Linked DNA regions of Xenopus tropicalis. The protein of the gene in region 1 purifies or fractionates together with the protein of each later gene. This does not show direct contact. Links are inferred from orthologs where the notes say so. Each region holds a gene or a part of one and is shown on either strand. Other genes may lie near its edges. The genes, in order: casp9 and dcc.

Region 1 (3,109 bases):
TCCAGCTCCCCCCTAGCATCCTCCAGCTCCCCCTACCATCCTCCAGCTCCCCGCTAGCATCCTCCAGCTCCCCCCTAGCATCCTCCAGCATCCTCCCCAGCATCCTCCAGCTCCCCTCAGCATCCCCCCAACATTCTCCAGCTCCCCCCATCGTCCTCCCCAGCATCCTCCAGCTCCCCCCTAGCATCCTCCAGCGTCCTCCCCAGCATCCTCCAGCTCCCCCCTAGCATCCTCCAGCTCCCCCCTAGCATCTTCCAGCTCCCCCCTAGCATCCTCCAGTGTCCTCCCCAGCATCCTCCAGCTCCCCGCTAGCATCCTCCAGCTCCCCCCTAGCATCCTCCAGCATCCTCCCCATCATCCTCCAGCTCCCCCTAACATCCTCCAGCTCCCCCCCACTCTTACTCCTGCTTCCTGCAGCTCACCCTGCTCCCCCCAGCGTCCACCTGCTTCCTGCGCCTCCCCCCTAGCATCCTCCAGCTCCCCCCTAGCATCCTCCAGTGTCCTCCCCAGCATCCTCCAGCTCCCCGCTAGCATCCTCCAGCTCCCCCCTAGCATCCTCCAGTGTCCTCCCCAGCATCCTCCAGCTCCCCGCTAGCATCCTCCAGCTCCCCTCAGCATCCCCCCCAACATTCTCCAGCTCCCCCATCGTCCTCCCCAGCATCCTCCAGCTCCCCCCTAGCATCCTCCAGCGTCCTCCCCAGCATCCTCCAGCTCCCCGCTAGCATCCTCCAGCTCCCCCCTAGCATCCTCCAGCTCCCCCCTAGCATCCTCCAGCTCCCCCCTAGCATCTTCCAGCTCCCCCCTAGCATCCTCCAGTGTCCTCCCCAGCATCCTCCAGCTCCCCCTAGCATCCTCCAGCATCCTCCCCATCATCCTCCAGCTCCCCCTAACATCCTCCAGCTCCCCCCCCACTCTTCCTCCTGCTTCCTGCAGCTCACCCTGCTCCCCCCCAGCGTCCACCTGCTTCCTGCGCCTCCCCCCTAGCATCCTCCAGCTCCCCCCTAGCATCTTCCAGCTCCTCCCTAGCATCCTCCAGTGTCCTCCCCAGCATCCTCCAGCTCCCCGCTAGCATCCTCCAGCTCCCCCCTAGCATCCTCCAGGTCCTCCCCAGCATCCTCCAGCTCCCCGCTAGCATCCTCCAGCTCCCCTCAGCATCCCCCCCAACATTCTCCAGCTCCCCCCATCGTCCTCCCCAGCATCCTCCAGCGTCCTCCCCAGCATCCTCCAGCTCCCCCCTAGCATCCTCCAGCTCCCCCCTAGCATCTTCCAGCTCCCCCCTAGCATCCTCCAGTGTCCTCCCCAGCATCCTCCAGCTCCCCGCTAGCATCCTCCAGCATCCTCCCCATCATCCTCCAGCTCCCCCTAACATCCTCCAGCTCCCCCCCCACTCTTCCTCCTGCTTCCTGCAGCTCACCCTGCTCCCCCCCAGCGTCCACCTGCTTCCTGCGCCTCCCCCCTAGCATCCTCCAGCTCCCCCCTAACATCCTCCAGCTCCCCCCCCCACTCTTCCTTCTGCTTCCTGCAGCTCACCCTGCTCCCCCCCAGCGTCCGCCTGCTTCCTGCGCCTGCTGTGTCCATCGGCTCCCTGCTGCATCCACTGTTTTATAAGGTTGCGCCCCGTGCGTTCTGACGTCACAGGTACCAGGTACGCACAGGGCAAAACCAATCGAAATCCCACTGGCCACCAAAGACAGAGCCCGTAATTCTTTAAAGGGGGCCCGAGTTTAAAAACTCTTTCACGCCCGGGCCCCCTTTAAAGCGAAGGATCGTCCAGGCCCAGGACAACTGTGCCCCCCTGATGGCGGCCCTGCCTCCTTCACTTTGACTATACAGAATTCTTGCTTTAAAATCCTTGTTTCTGTTGCTTGCAGGCCATTCATGATCATCTGGAGGAACTTGCTGCCCAAGACCACAGCCTGAGGGACTGCTGCCTGGTGGTGATCCTGTCACATGGCTGTGAGGTGAGGTTTATTGATGATGTTGCACCTTGGGCACACACAGAAGTCCTAGCATTATTGTGTCCCCGAGAAACTTTAGATAAACCTGACTGCACCACCCAGAACCTTCAGCCAATAAATCTGTGTGTTTTCACTCTAGACCCGGCACATTCAGTTTCCAGGAGGAGTTTACGGAACAGATGGGATTCGAATCCCTGTAGAGAGAATCGTGAGCTACTTTAATGGTTCTAAATGCCCCAGCCTGCGGGGAAAGCCCAAGATCTTCTTCATTCAAGCCTGCGGCGGAGGTAAATTTCTGCCATTGTCCAATCAAATTGATGATGTTTTTTTCCTGTTATCCAAACTATACGTGATATTTTCATGTTAGGGATAAAATAACGAGGGCAGGGATGGTCTAATGTCTTAATTCTTCTCTTTTCTCCTTGCAGATCAGAAAGACAAAGGCTGTTCGGTGACTACTGAGACCCCCCCACTAAGCCCCACTTCAACTTCCCTGCAGTCTGATGCCACCCCTGTTTTTTCTGGGGAAGATGATAACGACGAAGTGGATGCCGTGTCCAGTATTCCCACTCCCAGTGATATCTTGGTGTCCTATTCCACTTTCCCAGGTAAATGCTCAGTCTTTGTTAAAGGAGAACTATACCCCCAAACTGGAATATATATATCAGTAAATATTGCCCTTTTACATCCTTTCCCTTGAGCTGCCATTTAGTGATGGGCTGTGCGCTCCCTCAGAGATCAGCTGACAGGAAGTGATGCAGCTCTAACTGTAACAGGAAGTAGTGTGGGAGCAAAAGGCATAACTCTGCCCATTCATTGGCTGATGGGGCCTAGCATGTATGTGTGCCTTGGCTTGTTTGTGTGCACTGTGACTCCTATGATCCCAGGGGGCGGCCCTTAGTACTTAAAATGGCAGTTTCCTATTTAGGATTACCCAATGGCACATACTGCTAAAAAAGTATATTTTTATGAAATTGGTTTATTTGAATGAAGCAGGGTTTTACTTATAAGCTTTTTTTGCAATACATTTTTATAGAGACCTACATTGTTGGGGTATAGTTTCCCTTTAAACTTAATAAAAATAAGGGAACTGCTCTCGGCCTCCGCTTGTACTACGCCGTCTGTGTCAAATTAATGGGGGTGTGTCTAAA
Region 2 (4,571 bases), on another chromosome or scaffold:
CAAGTAGAAAATTAATCCTACTGCCCCGGCTGATAGAAATGACACAGAAATGGCAATTTCCCTGCCTGTAATTACAGATCTGGGCAGCGCTACCCAGGCAGTAAGGCGGAAAGGGCTCAGCCGCTGCTTTCTATGTTTGAAGACGGGGGTGTCAATCACGGGCTGCACTGCATTATGGGGGCTCCCAACTTCACGGTGACTGACAGGTCTGCTTCTCCGGGGAGCCGGCCGTCGGCCTATACAGCCAGTCAGTGGCCTTCTCTAATGGCTAAATCATTCAAATTAAACCAGCCTTGGGGGCCGCTGCCCCCCTTTCCATCAAGGCCGACCTGCCCCTTATAACGCTGCTAACGTGGTCATAAAATCAATTCACCATACCACGTTGCATTTTTTTTAATAATAAACACATGGAAATGCTACAGCAAGCACAGTAGTATTGATTTCGGGGCAAATGAACTGAGGGGAACCCAAGCACCAAGGCAACCTGTCTTTCCCGAGGGGCCACGTGTGCAACGTTGGTCTATATCGGAATTACCCCATTCATGGGGAGGGATTTCAATATCCCTATAATTCAGGCAAATGTATCCAATGTTGGGTTTATTTGCACCAAATGCCAATATCAATAATACATCATGGGTATGTATATAAGTAAGAAACCCCTTGCACTAGGGATCCCCACTACAAAATATATAAACTCATATACCACTCAATATTAGCCTAACGCGTTTCATGCTTACCCAGCACTTAATCATAGGCTCCAACCTCAAGTCCTACAACTCCCATCATCCACCCTCAAGCAAGTATTTACATTTCAACAATAGCAAGAAAATGGGCGTACCTTACTTAAACCCCCTATATTAATTGGGCTATTGAGTCTCGTTGGCACTGAGATTTCATTACATCTCTATTCAGATGTATGTTAGTAATACTCTCGTACCCTGTAGGAGGGGTAAAACATGTTTTCATCCAACCCACCCCCCACGCCCAGACGTGTTTCCCACTGTACCCCAGGTATAAGACCGTATTCATAAAGTAATAACAATTTTCATTAATATCATTGGGTCATACATGTTACCCCAATGGAGTGTGTGTCTTGGCGATCAAGTGAAGAATAAACCACTATTTTAATGATGAATAATAATAAATATTTTCTAATAATATTTCTATATTATATTTTCTATAACAAACAGAACCATTTACAAAGAAAAACTCAAAAAAGGCTGAATTGATTGGCAAAGCGGTGCCAATTGGCTCCCCAATGCTAAGGAAGTTTGAGTAAAAGAGCCGCAATTGCACCCCGGCCCCTTTAGTGGGCACCTCCTGCTGGTGTCTTCCTTTCACTACTATCACTTCTCCCTCCCCCCTGGCTCTCTGGTTGGAAAGAAAGAAAATAGCTCACTAGAAGGAGGGCTGGGAGTGTAAAGATTAATGAGAAGAGGCCAAGCAAAAGCTCCGGTGCCTTTACAGCTCCATTGCACATTTCCCAAGCCTGGATGCCAATGGTTGCTTCCGGTTCCCCCAACTTTTACATTTTATTTTTCTTTAATAATACAACTACATGTGTGTGCTGCCCGGCACCCTGGCATGAACTGCGCTGAGCAGTAGAATTCTACCAGAGCCGGTCGCTGTCCACTTCAGCACCATGTGAATGGACCCATCCATTGTATTGCCTCCTACAGCCCCAATGTGTGCACAACCCTTGCAGCTCAGTGTGCCATATACACAAATACAAGCAGTATATACTGTCACCTCAACCCCCAACCCTCAGTATCACAGAACTATAACCATCGTGCACTACACCTAGGTGCAACCAAGCTCTTGGTGACTTGCTACTTGACTTGATATTCCAGTCCCAAGCATTAGCACTGCGGAGCATGTTTGGGCAATAAAGACGTCCCTTATATGACACACACACACCCCATTGTCACATGTGAAATCACTAGCGAGCCCCCATTCATTCCACTAGTTTAATAGCATGAATTGGCACGCACAACTTTATGTAGTTGTGCCAGAACGCACCGTGCCCCATTATAAACCACGCTCCGCCGTATATAAATAGTCCTATTTGGCCCGAAGCCACCATTCTCTTCCAGATCTTGCAGGATAAGGAGAAGCTGTGAAATATACATCACTGGGGCTGGCGGAACGGTTTTACAAAACCAAAAATGTTTAAATTATTCACTTCTATCTTTAAAATATCACTTCGGCTCTAGGGACGAGGGTCTTAATAATTCATTATAAGATCTTGCTGCATTTTTTTTTCCCTTCTACTGCTTGTTAATATGTATGTGTGTGTATGTGTGTGTGTGGGTTTTTTTCCCCTTTAAAATACTGCAGCATGGATGTGAAGTAAAGAGGAGAAATGAAAGCTGCTATTCCTTCTCCAAACAAGCAAAGTGCAGAGAATCTCTATGAAATCGCTCCTCCGGGAGCCACACTGAGGGTCCTGGTTCCTAGGCTGGGGATGGAAGGGAATGCCGGAGATGTTACTTACCGGATACCGGGAGATTTAGGCTGAGCAGAGCGAATCCATGCAGGAGAAACACCAGCTTTGGTAGTGAATAAAATCCAAGACTATTCTCCATATTTCAGCAAACACCTCCCGATTTGTGTCCCAATTCCCAAGCACACTCATGCACACTCAACCCTGATTGCCTTAAATATTCCTGGTCCCTTGGCGGCTTCAGCAGGCAAAGTTAATGCTGGTCCAGTTCAGCATCAGCCCTGATGTACCCCCTTCCAAATAGCAAGTAAGTAGGGGCAAGCTTGTAGGGTGGGCTGAAGGTCCCAATGAAAACCATCCAAAGATAAAATCCTCCAGAATTAGATCCAGGTGCAGAAAATAAATCTGTAGAGGAGTCCCATGTCCCCAGTGCTGGATAAAAATAAAAATCAGCTTGGTAAAAAAAGGGGGTTATTAATAAAAAAAAAAAAGAAAAGCACAGGAGAGACTGATGCTTCCTCCTTCCCTGGCAGAGGAGAAAAAGACAGGGGCTTTAAAGAGCTCACTTGTTACTAGAGCAATCCACCAGCAGTGTATGTGAGCTAAGAATCAAATGTGTTCACCCATTGATCCACAGAAAGTGAAGAGGCTGGAGAGGAAAACAAGGAGCTGGGAAGCGCAGGAATGGGATGGAATGGGGATTGCGGAGGGGACAGCACTGGCTCCACTGGCTCTATACGGATTCTTTGTTCAGTCGCCAGTATGAAAGCATGAGCGGGGGCGCCCTCTGTCGGCGGCTGCTGGGAATGGCGGCAGCGCAGGGAGAAACGCTGGATCAGTGCGCGTCTTGCAGCTGCTACTGGGTCTTTACTGACAGCCCAAACAGGTTCCGAGCAGTTTAGATAATATGTATTATATATATATATATTATATGGAGGGAAAGGAGGAATGAGAGTTCTGCTGGCTGTCTGATCCTGCTCTCTCCTACAGGATACAATAGGCTGGGAGGGAAAACCAGAAATTCATTCATGTCATAAAAATGTCACAGAGTTACACTTTGTTTCATTCTGTGACTGGGGCATTAGCAGCATGGGGGGCTCACTGGGGCTCATTAACTACCCACAGACGCGCAAAGATGAACGCAGTTCAGTGCAAACTGACACTATTGGTTAGTATACAGGTATGGGACCCCTTATCCAGAATGCGAAGGACCGGAGAAGGGGTCATTCTGTAATTCGGATCTGCTACCTTAAGTCTGCTAAAAAAAAATATTTAAACAGTAATTAAACCCAAAAAGGCTGTTCTGCCCCCAATAAGGGGTAATTATATCTTAGTTGGGATCAAGTACAGGTACTGTTTTATTATTACAGAGAAAAGGGAATCATTTAACCATGAAATAAACCCAATAGGGCTGTTCTGCCCCCAATAAGGGGTAATTATATCTTAGTTGGGATCAAGTACAGGTACTGTTTTATTATTACAGAGAAAAGGGAATCATTTAACCATTAAATAAACCCAATAGGGCTGTTCTGCCCCCAATAAGGGGTAATTATATCTTAGTTGGGATCAAGTACAGGTACTGTTTTATTATTACAGAGAAAAGGGAATCATTTAACCATTAAATAAACCCAATAGGGCTGTTCTGCCCCAATAAGGGGTAATTATATCTTAGTTGGGATCAAGTACAGGTACTGTTTTATTATTACAGAGAAAAGGGAATCATTTAACCATGAAATAAACCCAATAGGGCTGTTCTGCCCCCAATAAGGGGTAATTATATCTTAGTTGGGATCAAGTACAACTACTGTTTTATTATTACAGAGAAAAGGGAATCATTTAACCATTAAATAAACCCAATAGGGCTGTTCTGCCCCCAATAAGGGGTAATTATATCTTAGTTGGGATCAAGTACAGGTACTGTTTTATTATTACAGAGAAAAGGGAATCATTTAACCATTAAATAAACCCAATAGGGCTGTTCTGCCCCAATAAGGGGTAATTATATCTTAGTTGGGATCAAGTACAGGTACTGTTTTATTATTAGAGAGAAAGGGAATCATTTAACCATGAAATAAACCCAATAGGGCTGTTCTGCCCCCAATAAGGGGTAATTATATCTTAGTTGGGA

Evidence for each region.
Region 2: the proteins of casp9 (region 1) and dcc purify together in Homo sapiens (co-immunoprecipitation; 3 studies listed by BioGRID and IntAct, with this or other methods). This does not show direct contact. The link is inferred for Xenopus tropicalis from reciprocal best matches to the Homo sapiens genes CASP9 and DCC.

The regions. Positions count from the first base shown.
Region 1 is NC_030683.2:129,462,609-129,465,717, forward strand, and holds part of casp9 (caspase-9), read left to right. Parts: intron 1-1,871; coding exon 1,872-1,961; intron 1,962-2,097; coding exon 2,098-2,245; intron 2,246-2,386; coding exon 2,387-2,566; intron 2,567-3,109. UniProt on the Homo sapiens protein: Involved in the activation cascade of caspases responsible for apoptosis execution. Binding of caspase-9 to Apaf-1 leads to activation of the protease which then cleaves and activates effector caspases caspase-3 (CASP3) or caspase-7 (CASP7).
Region 2 is NC_030677.2:204,365,932-204,370,502, forward strand, and holds the start of dcc (netrin receptor DCC), read right to left. Parts: upstream 3,082-4,571; 5' UTR 2,586-3,081; coding exon 2,495-2,585; intron 1-2,494. UniProt on the Homo sapiens protein: Receptor for netrin required for axon guidance. Mediates axon attraction of neuronal growth cones in the developing nervous system upon ligand binding. Its association with UNC5 proteins may trigger signaling for axon repulsion.